Canis lupus familiaris: one gene and its partners. The protein of the gene in region 1 interacts with the protein of each later gene in a biochemical or structural test. Links are inferred from orthologs where the notes say so. Each region holds a gene or a part of one and is shown in the gene's direction. Other genes may lie near its edges.

Region 1 (7,301 bases):
TAACCAAGAATTGAATTATTTGAATGAGGGCTCTTATCTTGAGAATCCACAGATCCCTAAGAAGGGGTTATAGGAATGGATCTCAAGAGCTGTGTGAACCTGTTCAAATCGTTAAGGCAAGCTTGAGTGTATTTTTCTGGGAAGAGGATCATACGGCTTTTGCTAGATTTTTCAGCCGGGTCTGTAACCTTAAAAAGTTCAGAATCAACCACTTAAATGGAAGAATTTCAGGTGTCCACCACAACCTGGTAAAATATATATTTGGGGGCAAGGAGGTCTTATGGACCCTTCTCAAATCAACACATGCACAAACTACAGAGAGTAACTGAGGAGCCAGATGCCCACACTTTTCTGAACACACCATGTCCCTAGTATTAAGAGTCTGCTTCCAAAGGAAGATTCCCTGGCCGCCATCACCATATAAATAGCTCTAGTGCCCCTGCATTTAGTCTTGGACTAAGTGATTCCTCTCTTTGGGATGTTCCAAGATTAGAAACAGATGCTTTCTCTCATAGACCCTGTGCACAGGTTGGAGACACTTGGTGGTTTGGTGACAATGGCAGAGGCGTCTGTGTCTGTGCCCTGTGTATGCCTCCACCGCTCAGAATCAGGGACCATTTTCAGTGGATAGATCTTACTCTGGGAAAACAGGGCTTTAGGCAACTCTCTCCAGCTAACACTGTTTTCCCAACCCCTACCCGAAACAGGCCAGACAGGCTGGAGACCCTTGTTTTTGTGTCTCTAATCACCAGCTCAGACAGTGCCCTCTGGGCTGTTTGGATGGCATATCCCTTTCCCCTCCCAGGATCACTCTCTCTTTTGTTGCATTGTGAGAAAATTACAGCTAGGAATTTGATCTGGAGCCAGTGTCAGCTTCCGGGTATGATCTCAGCATCCAAGTGTGAGCTCAGGGTGCTGTGACGTGGGGCACATCTAACGGAGGAGCTTTTGTCTCGCTGGCTATGGCCTCTTCCCTCCCTGCCCATCCCATCGTCCAGGCCACAGAACAGGGAGCAGCACAAACAAGGCCCTGAGATTTGGGTTTATTCAGCTCCACCCAGAACTAAACCAAAGGCTATGACATGTCTCAAGGGACCAAACCATACATTGTGGGCCATGCACTCTCCCCCTCCCCCCAAGGATGCGGCTACCTCTGGGGCGGTGGGCAGCTGCTCATACCACCGCGGGGGGTAGAAAGGGGTTCGCTGGGTGCTGGCTCAGTGACACTCAGGGCTCAACCCTGGTTGCCTCCTCCTCTTCGTCTGGATCGGGAGGTGCAGGGAGCAGGGAGATATAGACCTCATTGACCTCCGTGTCCAAATGTCGGCCACCCCGAGGTGCCTCCAGGTTAAGGATGCCATCGTGGGAGAGAGCCGCCCGGACCCGCCAGGGGTCCACATCGGCGGGCAAGACGTAGGTGCGGCAGAACTCCCGGGACACGAAGCCGTGGCGGTCCAGGCGCTGGGGGTGCCGGGCAGACACCTCCAGCAGGTTGTCCACAGTCCTTACGGTCACCTCGTCGGGCGTAAAGTGGCTCACGTCCAGAAACGCCTGGAACTTGCCGTCGCTGAGCCGAAGCTCAGACGCCCCTGCCCTGCTACCCTCGGCGGCGCGGGCGGCCCGGGGCCGGACATAGTAGCCATGGTAGAGGGTGGGGGTCAGGATCTCTTCGGGCAGGAGGCCTGAGGGGCAGGATGAGGCAGGATGAGCCGGGGACGAGGGGTGAGGGCCAGGGAGGGCGGGGGGGGGGGGCAGGAGGGGGCCAGGGGCCGAGATGGGGGTGCAGAGGGCAGGCCGGGCGGGGACCGCGGGACAGAGGGGAGCACGGGCCCAGCCAGGGGGTCAGGGCCGGGCATCTGCCCCGAGGTCAGCGGGAAGGGGACCGAGCCCTGCTTGGCGGGGGCGGGGGCGGGGGGGGTCCGGGTGGGAGACGGCTCGCCCCAGGAGTTCAGTTAAGCCCGGAGTGGGGTGGAGGCCAGCACTGTCGGGAGGTCAGCCCGGAATCTCAGGAGGTGGGGGCGGGAGGCCGGGGGTGGCGTCTGTGCCATACCTTCTCCGAAGCGCTGCTCGCCCAGGCGGCTGGGGTTGGCGAATTCGTACTCGGTGGTGGCCGGGTGGGCGTGGGGCACCGAGCGGCCCGACATGGCTGCGAGGCGTCGGCGGCTCTGCTCCGAGCTGCAGCCCCAACAGAGCAGCGACCCCTCCAGCTGCGGGGCCGGCCAGGGCTCGGTCCGAGGTGGGGGCGGGGTCTACACCACCCAAAATAGTGCGGAGCCCGGGGTGGGGGAGGGGCGGGGGCCGGGCCCCTGAGCGCCAGCGACAAGTGTGTGACCCGCGCTGCCTGGACCCCCGCGCCCCCCCCCCCCCCCCGCACGCCCTGCAGCTGTCGCAGGCGGCCCGAGGGGACAGCGGGGGGTCCTGGCTGGGCAGCGAGCTGGAGCTGCGAGCTGCGAGCTGCCGCGGGAGGCCGGTCCCGAGGCCCTGCAGCGGCCTAGCTGCGACCCTCACCCTCACCGTTGGCACATTTTCCACATTTCCTCCCTCTGTCCTCCTAAGTCCCGGGCACCCTACACCCGACTGCACAAAGCTGTCCCGGTTTTAACGTTCTGCCGCCGTGTAAGGTGAAAGATGCAAGAAACTTTCCCACCCTTTTTTGGAGTGGGGTGAAGGGTCTTCTGCCCAGACGAATGTCAGGGTCCTCTCCTGAACCAGGGTCAAGCCCGGGCGCCACACAGATATCTGCCTGGCGCTGACTTGCTGGTGATGGCTGCTCTCCTCCAGGGACCCATAAAGAGTTAATGTCCCTGGGGCCCAGCCTAGGAAGATTCCAGTTCCTGCCCAGGCCCAAGATAGTCACTGGCCCAATTCCCCTGGCACGCTAGGCTGGAGAGGAGGAGGAGGGGCACAACAGCCGCCTGCTTGGGATTCCTGACTCCCTCCCAACTCCAGAGAAGGGGGTGTGGGGGGGCACTACTGGGTGTGGACGGAAAGCTAGTGCAACAGGACCAGGACAAGTCACTGGCCAGCTCAGACGTGTTTGTATTTCTCTTTTCTTAGCTCAGTGAGTACTGGGTATGTGTCACACTGCCAAATCCCTGATCACAAGTCTCCATGAACGGGTGGTGAGCTGGGATAATAAAACTCCTGACATCACCATTCCAGAAGCTTCACAAGACTGCGTATATAAGGGGCTGGCTGTAGCTGCGGCTGAAGGAGCTGACCAGCCAGCTGACCCCCTCCACTCAACCTAGCCACCATGGACATCGCCATCCACCACCCCTGGATCCGCCGCCCCTTCTTTCCCTTCCACTCCCCCAGCCGCCTCTTTGACCAGTTCTTCGGAGAGCACCTGTTGGAGTCCGATCTCTTCCCAACTTCTACTTCCCTGAGCCCCTTCTACCTTCGGCCACCCTCATTCCTGCGGGCACCCAGCTGGATTGACACCGGGCTCTCAGAGGTAAGTTTCTGCCAGGAGAGGAGAGTTCTTCCTAGAACCTCCTGGAAACATATCCACCTGCTCTCCTTTTTCTCTCTGCCTGAATATGGCTATGTCTAAGCATCTTAGGCACTTGTACGTCCACCAGGGTTTAAGAAACACTAGGCTACTGGTTCTTTCCACCAGTTTACCTGTTTGTATTTGATGCTCCACTGTGTCCTACTTACTGCCTTTTCTCCACGGGCTGTGAAGATCGCCCTCTATCTCCTAACTTCTAAGTAGGATGCCCCTTTCTGGTTTGGTTCAGAAAGATCTACAGGGAAAGAGCTGCCTTCAGACTCCTTTGCTCGCCTCTTCTGATATCTCATACTCCTGACAAATGTTAGCATCTCAAGTTTCAGAGTCAGGAAACAGTCCTGCCTCATTCTGAGCTTTTCACTTCCACTGAATGGAGCTGAAGACAGCAAACACTGTTTACTTTCTTTCTATTCCTTCCTCTAAGATTTTCCAGGTTTCTCAGCACTGTGACAGGGCACTGACCTGTGTCCAAACCTGATAAGAACAGGGCATAAGTCCAGTCTTGGGACCCCCGCTTGTCCTAAGAGGGTGGGAGAAAGGGGGTGAACAGATAAGCTTGACAGAGCTGTCACAGAGAACGCTTTGGTTTAAAAATAAATATTCAAATGTGAGTAAACAGGAGCTGAGTGAGCAAGGGCTTTGGAAGGACAATCAAGACCAGCAGAACATTCCAGATTGAGTGGGTGGGAAAATTGGCAGGGGCCTGAGTAAAAAGAAAGGGCCTTTGTCTCACAGACAAATGACAAGGCCAGGCATTGGGGTCAGAGAGGCAGCAGGAGCCGTGTCCAGATCCATCCTTGCGATTGCTCCCCTGGGTAGCCTGTCTTTCTTCCTGTCCCTGTACATGAAATTTGGGTCTGATGACCGTGAGGCATGCCTTGGGTACCACTCCAGTGGCTCCCCTGAACCAGAGAGCCATGTTTATTCAAAAAGGGATTTTGACCCAAAAACAGAAGGATGAACTACCTGGAGAGAAAGCGAGTCTGCAGAACGAAGAGACTGCACTGATGCAATCCACATTCCTACCATCTTTTCTCCTACCCTCTCCTCTCTTGCTATTTCTAGATGCGTCTGGAGAAGGACAGATTCTCTGTCAACCTGGATGTGAAGCACTTCTCCCCAGAGGAGCTCAAGGTCAAGGTGTTGGGAGATGTGATTGAGGTGCATGGCAAACATGAAGAGCGCCAGGTGTGTAGTGTGTTTTCTCTTCTGCTCATTCATCCACTGTGTGCTACATGCCAGACTCTACCGTCAGCCTCTGAGCCTGGCAACTGTCCAGTCTTAAGCCATGAGGGTCTGGGACCGGGACAACCTATTTTTGTTTGGGCCAGAGAAGAGGTCTTATTGTTTGTTTTGATATGATTGCCTTAGGTGGGATATATGGGATGTTTATTTCCCATTTAAGCCAGTGGTATTTGGCCACCTTAGAATCATTAGGGGAATGGAAAAGAAAAATCTCAGCGCTTAGACATATCCCAGACCAATTAAATCAAATTGTTTTAGAAGTGGGCCCCAGGCATCAGCATTTCTAAAAGCTCCCTAGGTTATTCTAATAAACATTCAAAGTTAAGGACCACTGATTTAGGAATAGTGCTTGTCAGACACCAGGTTACTTTACATAATTAAATGAATTGCGCGTATCCTGAAGACCTTTGACTTTGAGCCTTTCTTTTGGATGTTCCAGAATGCTCTCATCTTTAGCTCATCTAAAATGCTGAACTACTTGGGTTTGTCTAAGTTTCAGAGCTGCATTCAGCAGCTAGAACCCTGAAGCCCATGTGGAAATCAGTTCATTGATAGCCTGTCTGCATAAATCCTTGAGATTGAGCTGTATAAAGGTTGGGGTCAGGTAGTTTTTAGCAGAATTCTAGAGAATGAAATAGCTTCTCATTAATTTCTGGGAGGGTTTTTAAAAGAGTCTGCTTCTTACCGATTATTGAGAACCCATATACTTGTGCATCAAACAGTATAGTTTGAGGTCCTTGGTCTGTTTCAGCTTTGTTTATGTGATTTAAGTTTGGGTCATAGTCTCCCTGGATGAAGTTTTATTGTTGTCGTTGTTTTAGCAGTGGTCCTGTTGGTCTGGGACATTCTGGGACATTCCTGAAGAGTCAGGATAATTTCTGGACTTCTTTAGGGACTCAGATCTTCAGTGCTGAATGATATTTCAGTAGGCCCAACACTGATATAAACCTTTGGGAAATACTCCTAGAGATATCTATGCTTCAGTTTGAAGAGCTGTGCAGTTTTCACTGTTTCAGATTTCTCAGACTCTCATTGGTGGGAGTGACCACTTAGGCAACTTTTTTTTTAGCCCCAAACAGAACAGTCATTTGGTTTTTTCTTGTTGCAGTGGTGTATGGTCACATGTCAGAGGAAGGAGAATGTCTGAGTTCTCAGCAAGTGGTGCCATTTCCTATTCTTATCTCTCTCTTTCTTCTTTCTCTTGGATTAGGATGAACATGGTTTCATCTCCCGGGAGTTCCACAGGAAATACAGGATCCCAGCCGATGTGGATCCTCTTGCCATTACTTCATCCCTGTCATCTGATGGGGTCCTCACTGTGAATGGACCAAGGAAGCAGGCCTCAGGCCCTGAGCGCACCATTCCCATCACCCGTGAAGAAAAGCCTGCAGTCACTGCAGCCCCCAAGAAATAGATGCCCTTTCTCTAACTGCATTTTTTAAAACAAGAAAATTTCCCCACCAGTGAATGAAAATCTTGTGATTAGTGCTGAAGCTTATTAATGCTAAGGGCAGGCCCAAATTATTAAGCTAATAAAATACTATTCAGCAACAGATAACTGTCTTGTGTTTGAATATTCTGTATTTTTAAAAAATAAATGTAAAAATACAGCAGATCCATTTAATCACATTATGATTTAGGGGACTCTGGGGATATTAAGTCAGAATGGCTGTCTCTACTACTTACTAATAGTATAAATTTAGCAAGTCAACCTTTCTAGTCCTTAGGTATTACATTTGTAACACGTGGAGCTGATTTGTACACTTGTAAAGAGTAAATCCAGGAGGAAATGTAGGTAAAAGCCCTTGTCAGAGTTCAAGGAATATCAGTTCCTCTCTCTCCTCCTCTGATTTTGGCACTCATTTTCAACAACAAATCTGAAAGAACTCTGGATAAATATGCATAAAAGACCTTAGTGAGTCTCTGCAGTTAATCCTGTTGCCAGGCAGGAGGTGGTATGCCAAAAGTGATATTTTCCTACTGATAAGCAATGCCTTCAGCTAATTCGCAAGAGAAATGAATAGGATTTGAGTTACTATCACCAAACAAGCCTTTCATTTGTAATCTCCAAATTATTTATCAAATATCTTGGATCTAAGACTGGGAAGGGGTGCCTGGCTGGCTTAGTTGGTAGAGCATGCAATTCTTAATCTTGGGCCCCTGAGTTTGACCCCCACATTGTATATACAGCTTAATAAAAAAGTAAATTAAAATATTTTTAAAAAGGGATCCCTGGGTAGCTCCGCGGTTTGGCGCCTGCCTTCAGCCTAGAGTGTGATCCTGGAGACCTGGGATCCAGTCCCACGTCGGGCTCCCTGCATGGAGCCTGCTTCTGCCTATGTCTCTGCCTCTCTCTGTGTGTCTCTCATGAATAAATAAATACAATCTTTAAAAAATATATATTTAAAAAAAGAAAAAACAACGAAGACGGGAAGCATCCAATAACCCTCCTCCTAAAAAAATTAAGTTTCAGAATTATTAATAATTGATCAATAAGTAATTCTATTATTCAGCTTAAACAAAGATGTATTACTCTACAAAA
Region 2 (7,565 bases), on another chromosome or scaffold:
TCTTCATTTTAAAGAGGATCTTGCAAGGTCAATATGACCTCAATTGTCAGCCTTCTCTCCATTGCCCCCTCTCCTCAGGCACTTAGTTGTATTTGGACCTAATGCTCATTTGGTTGCTTTATTCATAGCAGTCCTCCCTTTCTTCTCTCTTCCCCAGGTCCCATTCACATTTAGAAAGAGATTCTAAGTTAGCTTCTGTGAAGTAACATTTAGTCCTTCTGATCCCTGGGCTTTCCCACTGGCTTTATAGTAGTTGACGTCAAGACTAAACAACTTCAAAACAAGCCCATAAAGCCTTCATAACACTAGTCTCCAGGACACGGTGTCAAAAGCACTGCTGTTTCTCACCTTCCCTCCAATCATTAGAGCTCCAAAGTAGGTTACCCTTATGGCCACTCTGATTTATCTCTTTGAGTGGGGGGCACCTGGCTGGTTCAGAAGGTAAAGCATGCAATTCTTGATATCATGGTTGTGAGTTTGAGTCCCACATTAGGTGCAGAGATTACTTAAATAAAATTTTGGGGACGCCTGAGTGGCTCAGCAGTTGAGCATCTGCCTTCAGCTCAGGTTGTGATCTTGGAGTCCCAGGATCAAGTCCCGCATTGGGCTCCTTGCATGGAGCCTGCTTCTCCCTCTGCCTGTGTCTCTGCCTCTCTGTGTGTCTCTCATGAATAAATAAATACTTAAAAAAAATAAAAACATTTTAATAATAATAGTTAATATCCCTTTGGTAGCCTCATCCTGAAAATGCCTCCTGTCTTGCGGGCACTGGAGTTCAGGCCCCTGGTCAGCTGGTTGGTGTCTGTGGATAATTAACTAGAGAGCAGAAACCAGGTCAGACTATTCTAGGGTTAGGAGGAAATATCTGTAAGATACTAAATTGGGAGCAAATATTGATAAGTGGAACTTTGAAGTCACCGAGAAGGTAGTTGAGGTCAATGTTCCTTTGGGGCTCTGCCTGGCTTTTCTTTATGAAGTTCCTTCCTAAGTCCTACCTATCTGAACCCTAAATCAGAGGAGTATTGGTTGGTAGGTCTGAAACTAAGTACAAGGTAACTTGGGAAGAGAAATAGTGGCTTTCTTTCTCTTTCCCACTCAAGCTATAAACCAGGTTCTTTATAAAAGAGGTCTATCGGGATCCCTGGGTGGCGCAGCGGTTTGGCGCCTGCCTTTGGCCCAGGGTGCGCGATCCTGGGGACCTGGGATCGAATCTCACTAGGGCTCCCGGTGCATGGAGCCTGCTTCTCCCTCTGCCTATGTCTCTACCTCTCTCTCACTGTGTGCCTATCATGAATAAATAAAATAAAATAAATAAAAATAAATGAGGTCTATCTAAGGGCAGCCCTGGTGGCTCAGCGGTTTAGCTCGGCCTTCAGCCCTGGGGGTGTGATCCTGGAGACACGGGGTCTAGGCGCATGTCAGGCTCCCTGCATGGAGCCTGCTTCTCCCTCTGCTTGTGTCTGCCTCTCTCTTTCTCTCTCTCTCACCCTCTGTGTGTGTGTCTCTCTCTCATGAATAAATAAAATCTTAAAAAAAAAAAAAAAGGTCTATCTAAACCTGGTTTAGGTGGTACTGAGACTTCTGAATCTTGTTACTGCTCTGTGAAGAGATAAAAGAACTGTTTATTTGGGGCTTGGGGTTTGTAGATAAGGTGCCCTGGTCCTTGGGCCAGTTTCACCGTGCCCCTAGGTCAATGACAATGATACTCTTAGGAAGTGCAAAGGTCCTGAGGTCTTGTCTTCCTAGAGAAGTTAGTCAAGAGTGATATGAAAGATCACTTTAGTACTGTGGTTCATTTAATGATCCCTGGCAAGCATAGGATAAGAGTGTACAGAAGACAGCCAAGTAGGAGCAGGGGTCCAGAAGCTCCATGGAAGTGATGTGACAAAAGGAGAGGGTGCTTAATGCCTGATTTTGGATGTGGGGCTGGTCTGCAACTTTTGCCCTTATGTCTGGCTAGATGTGGGGTGAACTGGCTGCATGGGGTTATGTGACTAGAGTGGCTGAGACCCAGAGGTTCTGGCCTGTGCTGGAAAACTGTCATTTTTCTTTTTAAGATTTTTTTTTTTAAGTAATCTCTACACCCAAGGTGGGGCTCCAGCCTACAACCCCGATATCAAGAGTGGTATGCTCCACCGGCTGAGCCAGGTAGGCGGCCTCAGAAGCCTTCATATTAAGGGGCATCTGTAAGACTTCGACTTCCCCGCACTGGACGCAGAGCTGACGGCCCGTAAACAGCACTGGATACCAGCCTCCCGCCTTTGCCTTCCTTCCCCATGTATTAGGGGTCTCTTTATCTATAAAGATATACCGTGGCCTCGGCTGACCTCAAAGGATCGCCAGGCAGCCAGCGCTGGCATCATAGCCTGTCCACATGACGTCACCTCTAAGGCCATTAAGTCACTGACCAAAGGCATTCCTCAGGAAAGACCGCCAGCTGGTAGGAGGGGCAGGCAGTGGTCGGTGGCCGCGACGGTACAGGATGGGACCGGCTTCCGAGGCCCTCTGAGGTCGGAGTCCTCGGTCAGAGCCCTCCTCCCACACTCCCCTCAGAGCTAACCCCGAACCGCTGAGGGCGAGAAGGGAAGCCGAGGAGGAAGTTAACGGAGTTAGCAGGCACATACTTAGGCAGCTCCGCGCCCCCTCCCGGCCCAGCCCGGCGGTCCAATCCTGCCCGCCGCGCCCGCTGTCAGCGGCTCAGGTCCCGCCCCCGCGGACGCCGGGCCAATGGCCGGGCCCGAGGCGAGTCCCCTGGGAGGGGCGGGAGCGAGTCGGGGCGGGGGGCGGGGCCTCGCCGAGGACCCCGGGCTGGGCGCCGCCGCCGGCTCGTCTCCCCTTTCCCTCAGCCGCCTCCTTTCAACCTTGTCGGCCCGTCGGCGCGGCCCTCGGTGCAGCGGCGGCGGCTCCCCCGGCCGCAGCTCTCCCGGTCCTGCCTCCCCGCCGGAAGCCCGCGTTCGCCCGTCATGGCTCTACTCACTGCGGCCGCCCGGCTCTTCGGAGCCAAGGTGAGCAACTCCGGGAGGGAGCGCGCGGCCCCAGGGTGGGGCTGAGGCGACTGCAGGCCCTCGGGCGCCGGGGTCCCCTCCCCTCCACCTCACACCCCTGCGCGCCTTAAAGGGGCCCGGCGCCTGGCTGGCCGCCAGCCCTCGGTGGCGCTCCCAGGCCATGTGCTCCGCTGGCCTCCTGCCCCCGGGGGTGAAGAGGGCGCTGCCCGCTCCGGCCTGCGGTCTTGGGCGGGCGGAGAGCCCGGACGCTGCTGTCAGCCGGCTCGGCCAGGACGGGGGAGCCCCGGAAAGGAGCTGCCGCTGGAGAGCCTCGGTGTCGTGTGCCTCCGGACTTAGGGGAAGGGCCCGTTGGGGAGAGGGGTGCGGGGGTAGGAGAGGCGGCCGGCGGCCGGCTCCGTGCACTGCCCCTGGTGAGCTGCGCCGTGGCCGGCTTCGGCTTCTGCTTTGCGGAGAGGGCCTTGTCGGCTCCCAAACTGCTTCTTACTGTTTCTCCAACCCAATTTTTGAAGCTTTTAGTGACCGAGCCTTAGCAGTTCTGCTGGTAGAGTGGTACTGGGTCCTCTTTGTCCTTGGGACTCTTGCACTTACTCTTCGTATAGGAGGAGCCTGGGTGGGGTGGAGCCCTTCTGTAAGACCTTCTGCATGATTATCACATAATGATTGCAGAAAGAACCAGAAAGATTTTTCCTTCAAACGGCAGGCCAGAAAGTGAAGATACTGGACTGGAGATAGTGCTGCCAAAGTCACATGACCGGTCCTACTCCTTGCTCACTCAGGCTTAGCTATTGCTTTGAAGTCTACCCAGGAGAGAGCCCTCTCGTTCTTTGAGGCCCTCATTTACTTGAATGTTCGTTCTTGCCTTTGGATCATAGGAATCTTGTTGCAGGTAATGGTGCTTTCAATTTCAAATGGCCAGGGCTTTGGTGCCTGGGTCACTTAACCCTTTAAATAGAGAAACTGCTGTTTTGAGGAGAGAGTCCCAGCCCTTTAATCCAGGCAGGGACAGTCCCACAAGTGACCTTGACTTCTGCAGAGAACTTACACTTTCTCCTGCAGATTAAAGCTGCCAGCACCTGGAGGAAAGGAAAGTCTTAGGATGGCATTGGCGTGCTGTGTGTTAGCTTGCATGGCTGGCAGATGAGGTGAAGCCTGTAGAATCTAGCATGGAGGTTCTTCCGGGTGCCCAGCAGCAGGTGGAGGCTGATCGTTTGGGAGACACTTGTCTTACTTGGGAGACACTTGTCTTACTTGACTGTTGCTTCTGCTGCTGCCAGGGAACAGGGTAAGGAAGGCCCCTTGGGAAATGAGGCGAGTTCTAGATAGTGTTTTGGCAGAATAGGGGACACGACACCATAATTAGCTCATTCCAGAGCTCCTAACCCAGACCAGATCATTTAATCCTTCAGTGATTTTTAAAAGCCTTTAGAATTTAGTTTTTGAATTCATTTTGTTTTTTTAAGCCTCTGGGGAAGCCCAGGAAGCTTTTGGGATGATAGTGCTACATAATTGTAGAATCAGTATTGTTTTGTTTTGTTGACTTTACTGGTAGAAATGATCCTGAGGACCCCAGAAACCTGTAAATTGGAAGCCATTTGAAAGCTTTTGATCCTTAAAAACTAGCAAAGCCCAAAAAACTCCAGTGGAAATTTCCTGAGATCTCAGTAGAATAACCAAGATAGCAAGAAGGAAGCCTGTTCACTTTGTAGCATTGCTAGCACCTGCCTTGAATATTCAGATCAGCCTAAAGCTTAACTGATTTTACTTTTGCTGCTAAGGTAGGCTTTGGAAAGCAAAGAGAATTCATTTCCTGATCTGGGAACACTGACCCCTACCACTTTGATTCTCAAGGTCAGATGTAGTTTCACTTTTCTGAGAAGAGATTTTTTTAACCTTGCTAGGTGACACAAATGCCAGTCATTGTTACATTGTTCCACTCTATCCACTTTCAGGTAATTTAATGAACACCTGAGTTGGAAAGAGATACTAGTTCAGATTATTCGACTTCTTGTTTACCCAAATGAATTTCTACTAAACGGTGGTCTTAGTATTAGCTGTGGATGCCTTATCTTTGTGATGTATTATTTTTTCACATGTGATCTGAGTTTGGATTTGGGTCGGGAGTTAGAGTATGGCCACTGATTTATTTCTGTTCTCTCTTTTAACACTATTGTGACTTAACAAATCATAATTATTTCTTGTACCATTGAGCACTGCTCCTCTAAGCCAAGATGTTCAATGACTTTGAGAAAATCAAGCCAAAAGTGTTAAGTATTTCTACACTTTTTTTTTTTTAAAGAGTTTATTTATTTCTTCATGAGAGACAGAGAGAGAGAGGCAGAGACAGGCAGAGGGAGAAGCAAGCTCCATGCACGAAGCCTGATGCAGGACTCGATCCCGGGACCCCGGGATCACACCCTGAGCCAAAAGCAGATATTCAACTGCTGAACCACCCAGGCGTCCCTCTAGACTTTTTCAAGACATGTATTTAATACTTATAATTCCTTTACAGTAGATCTACATCACTGAACGTGTTTTGTATTAATCCTAGTTAGAAATCGGGTTCAACAAAAGTTAAGTTTTTTCTGTGAAATATTAGCTAGGCTCTCAGTTCAGAACTTTTATTTTATTTTTTTAATGTTTTAAGTTGGGAATCCCCGGGTGGCTCAGCGGTTTGGCGCCAGGGTACAATCCTGGAGTCCGGGGATCGAGTCCCGCATCAGGCTCCCGGCATGGAGGGAGCCTGCTTCTCCCTTTTCCTGTGTCTCTGCCTCTCTCTCTCTCTGTGTCTATCATAAAAATAAATAAATAAATATAAATAAATCTTTTTTAAAGATGTTTTAAGTTTATTTATTTAAGTAATCTCTACACCCAACATGGGGCTTGAACCCACGACCTCAAGATTAAGAGTCACATGCTCTTTCAACTGAGCCAGCCAGGCACTCTGTACAGCCTAGAACTTTTAAAGGCAAGCACCCAAATCTATGTGTCTTCACTTTGATTATCAGCCTGCTCAAAGGGATGTCAGTTCCTTGGTGCTTGCTAGGTGGGCTGAAGATGAAAAATGGAGAGTAAATCCTCCTCATGTGCTACTGGTGGGATAACTGCATTTGTCTATCCTAGTGGCCTTTTTTAAGATTTTATTTATATTTATTCATGAGAGAGGCAGAGATAGGGGAGGGATAATGGGACTCATCCGGGGATCACTACCTAAGCCAAAGGTAGATGTTCAACCACTGAGCCACCCAGGTACGTGCCCCCCAGTGGCCTTTAGATTGTTAACAGATGAATGCATGGGTGTGGGGAAGCACTGCTAAAGTAGATCATTAGAAAGGTGAAGGCTGGCATTCTTGTTTCTTTAGAATCCAAGTGGGCAGAAGGCAGGAAGCCAGATGTGGTGGATCTCTCTAAAGCTACATAGTAATTCTTTTTGCCCTTCAGTGCTCTATGTGATAGAGTTGAGTAGGGCATGAAATTTAAAACAGTAGTGAAGGGCCGCCCAGGTGGCTCAGCAGTTTAGCACGGCCTTCAGCTCAGGGCCTGATCCTGGAGATCTGGGATCCCTGCAGGGAGCCTACTTCTCCCTCTGCCTGTGTCTCTGCCTCTCTCTCTCTCTCTCTCTCTCTGTGTCTCTCATGAATAAATTAAAATCTTAAAAAATTTTTTTTAATTTTTATTTATTTATGATAGTCACAGAGAGAGAGAGGCAGAGACACAGGCAGAGGGAGAAGCAGGCTCCATGCACCGGGAGCCCGATGTGGGACTCGATCCTGGGTCTCCAGGATCGCGCCCTGGGCCAAAGGCAAGCGCCAAACCGCTGCGCAACCCAGGGATCCCGAATAAATTAAAATCTTAAAAAAAGAAAAGAAACAGTAGTGAAGCAAAGTTAGCAATAGGTCTTTAAAAAAAAAAATAAGATTTTATTTATTCATGAGAGACACAGAGAGGCAGAGACACAGGCAGAGGGGAGAAGCAGACTCCCTGCCGGGAGCCCCATGCTGGACTTGATCCCGGGTCTCCAGGATCAGGCCCTGAGCTGAAGGCAGCGCAAAACCGCTGAGCCACCCAGGAATCCCAGCAATTGGTCTTTCTGAGCATATGACTGTCTTTCATTTTTTGACTCAAATACCCAAAATCTTTTTTTTTTTTTAAGATTTTTTTTTTTTAATTTTATTTATTTATTTACGGTAGTCACAGAGAGAGAGAGAGAGGCAGAGAGAGAAGCAGGCTCCATGCACCGGGAGCCCGACGTGGGATTCGATCCCGGGTCTCCAGGATCACGCCCTGAGCCAAAGGCAGGCGCCAAACCACTGCGCCACCCAGGGATCCCTATTTATTTTTTAAAATATTTTATTTATTTATTAATGAGAGACACAGACTGAGAAAGAGAGGCAGAGACACAGGCAGAGGGAGAAGCAGGCTCCATGCAGGGAGCCCGACATGGGACTCTATCCCGGGTCTCCAGGATCACGCCCTGGGCTCAAGGCGGCGCTAAACCGCTGAACTGCCTGGGCTGCCGGGATAAATAAAATCTTAAAACAAACTCCTAGTGGAAGTGAGAGC
Region 3 (6,915 bases), on another chromosome or scaffold:
TCCCATGGCCTGTTGGCACCTTCCCTGACTTATTGCTTCTAATCCCCTCCATCACTGCTTGTGGAAGCTCAACCAATGGGAAAAAAAATGGAGGCTCCGCAAGTGAGAGGCAAAGCAGGGACCCCAGTAAAAGTCTATCTACCGGACTTAAACCATCTTTTCCTTTCTTCTGTGCTGTCACCTCAACCTCCAGCCCAGAGGCCATGTCACTGATATGTGTTTTGTCTTCCAGAAACCCTTCCAACCACCAAGATGGCTCAAACTAACCCCATGCCGGGGTCCGCGGGGCCATGGAAGGTAAGCTCACCTCCATCACGTGGAATACTGAGCCGTCCCACAGGGCAGAGCATGAGATATTGCCATAGGGCAGCCCCCAGGGCTGTGCTTTGCATGGGGGAATGACTGGCAAGTAATATACCAGTTTTAGGGCGAGGGTCTACCCAACATCCATATGCTGTCTCAGGAAGGATCTTTCAGGATGCCCCATTTGGACAGAAGGATGACCCTGGAAGCCCATGATGGTGGAAGATGACACCTAGTTTTCTAGGTCACCTCTCCTCCACACTACTAAAATAATCTTAAAACAGAGCAGCCCAGGGGCACCTGGCTGGCTCACTAGGTGGAGCATGCAGCTCGTGATCTTGGGGTTGTGGGTTGGAGCCCCATGTTGAGTGTAGAGATCACTTAAAAATAAAATAATTTTTAAAAAGAATTAAAAAAAAATAGAGCAGTCCGGAGTGGATGATGCTGCCATGGAGAGTGGAGCATTTCTGGAGTCCCAGAAATAAAAAGAGATTTGCTACCAGATCCCAAACAAGGTCTTCTCACTCTCAGCCTGAGGTTGATTGTAACCATTGCCTGAAGTGGCTGATCCTTAGCTTTTCACTATTTTCCTCAACACCCCTACCCTTTTCACTGGGTTAACTCTAAGGACAGCTCACAGCTTTGGGAGTTTGTCCTCTAGCCAGGTTTAAGAGCCAAATTCTAGTTCAAGGTATGAAATGGGTTTATCACAAATCTCCATTTACACCTTGCATTTCTGTATTGAATATGACTGGAGAAGATAATAAATAACCCACAGGAAGTTCTGGGAGTCTCAGAGTCCTTACTTCTGGGCCACATTTATGCAGAAAGTAAGGTGGAATAAGAGTTTATGAGTCCTTGGCCTGTCCACTAGACCAGGCATTGTCCTTGGCAAACAATTCCTATCATAAACCAATCCTTACACTTCATCCCTTGCCTGGACATGTAAACACCACCAACCAGTGGTATAATCCAAACTCCTTCCTATCCTGTCTATACTGGAAGAGACCTTACCAGACATCCTGGGCTACAGACCAAAGTTAAGCTCTTGACCTGGGCCTCTGCTCTTCCTGAAGTACCACATTCAAACTCTGTTTTCCCATTCAATTCCATTCAGATAACCATCTATGATCAGGAGAATTTCCAGGGCAAGAGGATGGAGTTCACCAGCTCCTGCCCAAATGTCTCTGAGCGCAGTTTTGATAATGTCCGGTCTCTCAAGGTGGAATGCGGCGCGTGAGTATGGACCTCAGCAGAACCTTGGGACCCATATTTGTGGTCTCTGGAGACATGGGGCCATAAAGGTGGGGATAGGGAAAAAAGATGTTCCCCCAGATTCTAATCATTTCTGGGAGAAAGGCGTCCATATGGAGGTAGTCTCAAAGGAAATCACTATATGTGTAATTTAGTAACTCAAAGCTAGAAGGAACTGAAGATTCTAGTGGATTGGTAATAGATTTGAGGAGGGGAGCATTAAGGAAATGTAGACCATGGGGTGGGGCAGTGACAGGAATCAGATCTGTGCCCCTAGAGCTCATAGGCTGCTACATAGGATTCTCTCAGAAGAGGCACAGGACCCTTTAGTTTGTCTTGCCGACAGAAAAATAGAGGAAACCCGCAAGCAGCAACCTCTTTCCAGCTAACTCCCTCCTGCAAAGGCACTACCAGCTAGTTTCTCTGTGTAAAAAGGAACTCAACTCTAGGACGTGAGAGCTGTATCAGGTCCCAGTTAGTCATTCAGGAGTTTCTTGTTGATGATTAATTTCTTGGACGAATTAGACTCGTGGTTTGTTTCCTGACTCTTTGGCAGGATAGTTGAAGCCTTTACCACCAAGGAAAGGTCTCTCCCTTAGCCTAAGTGAAGCTGGCATAGCACACAGAGAGGCTTCCGGCTTCCACAAGTTGTGGGCCACTAAACTGAGTTAACCATTTAAAGGGAGTAAAATACTTTAAGATGTCACTGGTAGCAGAGACTTGGTTGTGAAAAGTGGACCTGAGGTGTTTTAATAAATAAGGAACAGGGATGCCTGGGTAGTTCAGCTATTAAGTGTCTGCCTTCGGCTCAGGGTGTGATCCTGGAGTCCCAGAATCTAGTCCTGCATCGGGCTCCCTGCATGGAGCCTGCTTCTCCCTCTGCCTGTGTCTCTGCCTCTCTCTCTGAGTCTCTCATGAATAAATAAAATCTTTAAAATAAATAAATAAATAAGGAACAGGTGTGTGACAGCAGGAGCTAGAACCCACAAAGTTATCAGGAAACAAGAGACTAGTAATCCATCAGCTGCCTGTCCATCCCTTTGCTTCCTTAGGGAGAAGCCAGTAGGTTTGGCTGGAGCCAAAGCAATAGTCAGTCACTAGATCCTGAACCTAGAGCTCCAAGTAGAGAATAAGGTGACTTGGAGAGAAAGGAAATCTAATTTCAGACTGACTTTGTTCATACGCATTACTCAGGTCAGTGAAGCAGACCCTTTCAGTGGATAATCCCCAAACAAACATTACATTCACAAACCTGCTTCAGGTAGCTGCCAGCTCGTTCCCCGCCTCTTGTGACAAATGTATCACTTTGCATGGCTCTCTTGGAATTGGCTTGATAAGCCGGCTTCTCCCCTGCCTATGTCTCTGCCTTTCTCTGTCTCTCATGAATAAATAAAATCTTAAAAAAAAAAAGGTGCCTCTCCCTGAGGCCATGTAGGCTCTGAACACCACCAACAAACCCCACTGCTTGTCTCTGGCAGCTGGATTGGTTATGAGCATACCAGCTTCTGTGGGCAACAGTTCATCTTGGAGAGAGGAGAGTACCCTCGCTGGGACGCCTGGAGTGGGAGTAACGCCTACCACATTGAGCGCCTCATGTCCTTCCGCCCCATCTGTTCAGCCGTGAGTCTGAATTTTTCACTTCTGTGCACGTGGGGGGATGGTGCAAGAGAGGGTGCGTGTGGATGGACATTTAGTGCTACTTCTCATCAGTTACGTTGAAATGCAGCAGGAAGGATAAAAGAGAGAACATTGGTCCCTCTGTTTCCAAATTTGCCCTTTGATTTTTTCCCTACTAGAAGGTATTTTCATTAAGCTAAAAGATTGGCAGAAGTGTATACTTACGAGGGCAGATCTTCAGTGCAGTAGGAGAACTAGTGAGAGCTAGGTTTGCGTTTTTGTACTACATACAGGTTAGTCTCTGCCTTAATGTTTGCGTAGTATTCATATCCCCTACCAGACTTTAGGTTATTTCCAGCACTGTACACACACATACACACACAGCCTTACTTTTTCTATTAATTTCTGTGATCTTTTCTCACATAAGTGAATATTAACTCCCTTGGTTGGCTGTGTGTTTCTTCCTGCTCTTATTATATTTTCTATGATTTTTGTTGCCCCAAAGTATTATATCAATTATTTGTACATTTTAAATGTTACGGTATTAAATTTGATTGGACAGGATTGAGTATTTTTATCTCCATATCTCCATATTGAAACATTCTTAAAATGTAAACCAAAAGCTTTTTTAATTTGAAAAATGTAGAAATTAAAGAATTAAGATGACAGCCATCAACACGGGTACTAAATGATTTAAAATTTTTTTGCATTACAGAATCATAAGGAGTCAAAGATTACCATCTTTGAGAAGGAAAACTTCATTGGACGCCAATGGGAGATCTGTGATGACTATCCCTCCTTGCAAGCCATGGGTTGGTTCAACAATGAAGTTGGTTCCATGAAGATACAATGTGGGGCGTAAGTACAAAAGACAGGGATGGGGCACATTTCAAAGTAACTCTTGCAAATGTAAACCTTGTATTAATACATCAATGGTTATAGTTTATGAGATTTCATACATTAGTATATTGGTATGGCTGACACATTCTAGTTATTAGTAATTTTCAAATTTTAAGTTGTTGGTACCAACTTCTACTTAAGGTCAGTGTTTCCCCCTCTTAAATATTTCTCTATGTAATTATTTGTTGACTACTCTTTTTAAAAATTTTTTATTTTTTTAAGATTTATTGAGAGCAAGAGAATGCATAAATAGGGGCAGCTGCAAAGGGAGAGGGAGAGAAGATTTCCCACTGAGTGCGGAGCTCCATCTCACAACCCTGAGATCATGACTTGAGCCAAAATCAAGAGTCAGATGCTTAACTTACTGGGCCACCCAGGCGCCCTTTTACATTTTTTTTCATGATCAAAAGTTAATTTTCAACTAGCTATAGCCATATTATGTTCACAAATGGTGCTTGGCACATTTAGAATGGCTGTTGTTTTCTAAACGTAAAAGCATTCCATACCAATTGTGTTGATGAAAGAGACTCAGGTTGTAGGGTACTGACCCCTTTCCTAACTAGTTTTAATAATCTAATGTGCTTTGGATTTTCTAGCTGGGTCTGCTACCAGTATCCTGGATATCGCGGGTATCAATATATCTTGGAATGTGACCATCATGGAGGAGACTATAAACACTGGAGAGAGTGGGGTTCTCATGCCCAGACTTCCCAGATTCAATCAATTCGCCGTATTCAACAGTAGTGGATTGAAAGCTCCAAGTAAGAGGAACCTTGCTAAGCAATCTAGTTTTATGTTAGCTGCTGAAATCCACAATAAATGTCATTAAAAAAAAAAAAAACACACACACAACTGTGTAGACTGAATGAACTACCACGCTTTTAGTTTTACTTTTTATTCATGAGAAACAGAGAGAGAGACGCAGAGACAAAAGCAGAGGGAGAAGTAGGCTCCATGCAGAGAATTTGATGCAGGACTCAGTCCCAGGACCCCGGGATCATGACCTGAGCCAAAGGCAGATGCTCAACCACTAAGCCACCCAGGCACCCCAGTTTTACTGATTTTTAAAGATTTCATTTATTTGAAAGAGAGCAAAGCATGAAGGGGGGGAGGGGCAGAGAGAGAAGGAAAAGCAGGCTTCCTGCTGAGCAGGGGGCCCAACGCAGGACTCAATCTCACTACCCAGAGAGCATGACCTGAGCTGAAGGCAATGCCTAACCGACTGAACCACCCACATGCCCATTTTTTTTTTTTTAAGATTTGAAAGAGTGTAAGTGCAGGGGGGTGGGGGAGGGCAGGAGAGAGAAACTTAGGTAGATTCCATGATCAGTGGACTGTCCGGCACACGGCTCTATCTCACAACTCTGAGATCAAGACCCTGAGATCACAATCTTCAAAAACAGTTGGATGCTTAACTGTACCACTCAGGTGCCCTTTTAAGTAGGCTCCAAACCCAGCATGGAGTCCAACATGGAGCTAGAACTCAGGACTGTGAGATCAAGACCTGAGGCACCCAGGCATCCCATTTTTTTTTAAGATTTTTATTTATTTATTCATGAGAGACAGAGAGAGGCAGAGACATAGGCAGAGGGAGAAGTAGGCTCCACGCAGGGAGCCCAATGTGGGACTCGATCCTGGAACTTCAGGATCATGCCCTGAGCTGAAGGCAGACGCTTAACCACTGAGCCACCCAGGTGTCCCCCACCATACTTTATAAATCACACCTATGGGGCTGAGAATTTTTAAAGACAAGCTTCAATAAAACCCCCAATTCCCTTTGTATCCTTGCAAGTCACTCAGCAGGCCAACTGACAATTCTTCCTTAACTCAAAGAACATAAAAGCATATGAAATGTATCAGTCTATATAGTGACAAACAAACACACTTATGGTAAATGTTTTTACATCTCTTCCCCACATTCCCTACTCTAACATGTTGATGTTAGCACCGATTTTTTTCAACTTGTGACAAATCAATGCTATACAAACTTAGGAAGTTTCTCAAATATGCATTGCCATGTATTTCAACATAAAGTCACAAATTCAGAATCTTGGCAACTTAGATCTAGTTGCTTAACTGCTTAGTTTAATTTTGGCTTCCTATTCCAATTGAAGAACATTAAGGATCAATGGGCATTAAGGAATAGGATAGCTGTTCTCACAGGTCATTTTAAAATAAATATGCCAATTCTAAGCATCTGTATGATTTGCTTTAAATCAATGACATATGACCATGGTACACTTAAGACTTAATTTGTACATCCCACAATCTTAGTTTTCAGTATATAACTTTTAAAAGCACACAAAAGATAACACAAACACCTCAGAAACTTTAAAATTTTTTATTCAACAATGTACACTTATTGTCTCTTAATTTGATCTACAAATTTCTCAAGGTTTTTTTTCTGATAAAATAAGTAAATCTGGGTATGGATGTTGAGTGTTTGTAATTTATATTTTTAAAACACTGAACATGGAGTAAGACATCAATAAAGGAAGATCATCATGTAACTGACACTTCCTCAGAATCCATGACATCAGAAACAGCTATGGCAAATACCTAAGCAATTAGCAAAAGGGTAAATTTCTGGCCACTGTTCTTTTATCTAGAAAAGGCCTATCTTTTTGACTGGGCAAAAAAAAAACACTGAAAAAAAATAGTTGGGAGAGGGAAAGAAAAATATCCTCCAACATAATTATAGTCCAATTATCCTTTCCCGCAGATCGAGAAGAGGTAACTCAGCTCCTAAGTGTTGATGCACACAAGACACAGAAATTACTTTGCTCCTTCAATGTTTGTTCTAACACTGAACATAAGTGAACTACTGACAGACGCGGAGAA

The links.
Region 2: the proteins of CRYAB (region 1) and CS form a complex in vitro, tested with the Homo sapiens proteins (3 studies listed by BioGRID). The link is inferred for Canis lupus familiaris from reciprocal best matches to the Homo sapiens genes CRYAB and CS.
Region 3: the proteins of CRYAB (region 1) and CRYBA1 form a complex in vitro, tested with the Homo sapiens proteins (2 studies listed by BioGRID and IntAct, with this or other methods). The link is inferred for Canis lupus familiaris from reciprocal best matches to the Homo sapiens genes CRYAB and CRYBA1.

What each region holds. Positions count from the first base shown.
Region 1 is NC_049226.1:21,212,313-21,219,613, forward strand, and holds CRYAB (alpha-crystallin B chain), read left to right. Parts: upstream 1-3,003; 5' UTR 3,004-3,256; coding exon 3,257-3,457; intron 3,458-4,579; coding exon 4,580-4,702; intron 4,703-5,969; coding exon 5,970-6,173; 3' UTR 6,174-6,314; downstream 6,315-7,301. Other genes in the region: HSPB2 (heat shock protein beta-2), read right to left, coding at 1,228-1,682, 2,051-2,144. UniProt on the Homo sapiens protein: May contribute to the transparency and refractive index of the lens. Has chaperone-like activity, preventing aggregation of various proteins under a wide range of stress conditions.
Region 2 is NC_049231.1:959,542-967,106, reverse strand, and holds the start of CS (citrate synthase, mitochondrial), read left to right. Parts: upstream 1-2,785; 5' UTR 2,786-2,963; coding exon 2,964-3,005; intron 3,006-7,565. UniProt on the Homo sapiens protein: Key enzyme of the Krebs tricarboxylic acid cycle which catalyzes the synthesis of citrate from acetyl coenzyme A and oxaloacetate.
Region 3 is NC_049230.1:43,345,308-43,352,222, forward strand, and holds the end of CRYBA1 (beta-crystallin A3), read left to right. Parts: intron 1-232; coding exon 233-297; intron 298-1,420; coding exon 1,421-1,539; intron 1,540-3,035; coding exon 3,036-3,177; intron 3,178-3,889; coding exon 3,890-4,032; intron 4,033-4,670; coding exon 4,671-4,818; 3' UTR 4,819-4,913; downstream 4,914-6,915. UniProt on the Homo sapiens protein: Crystallins are the dominant structural components of the vertebrate eye lens.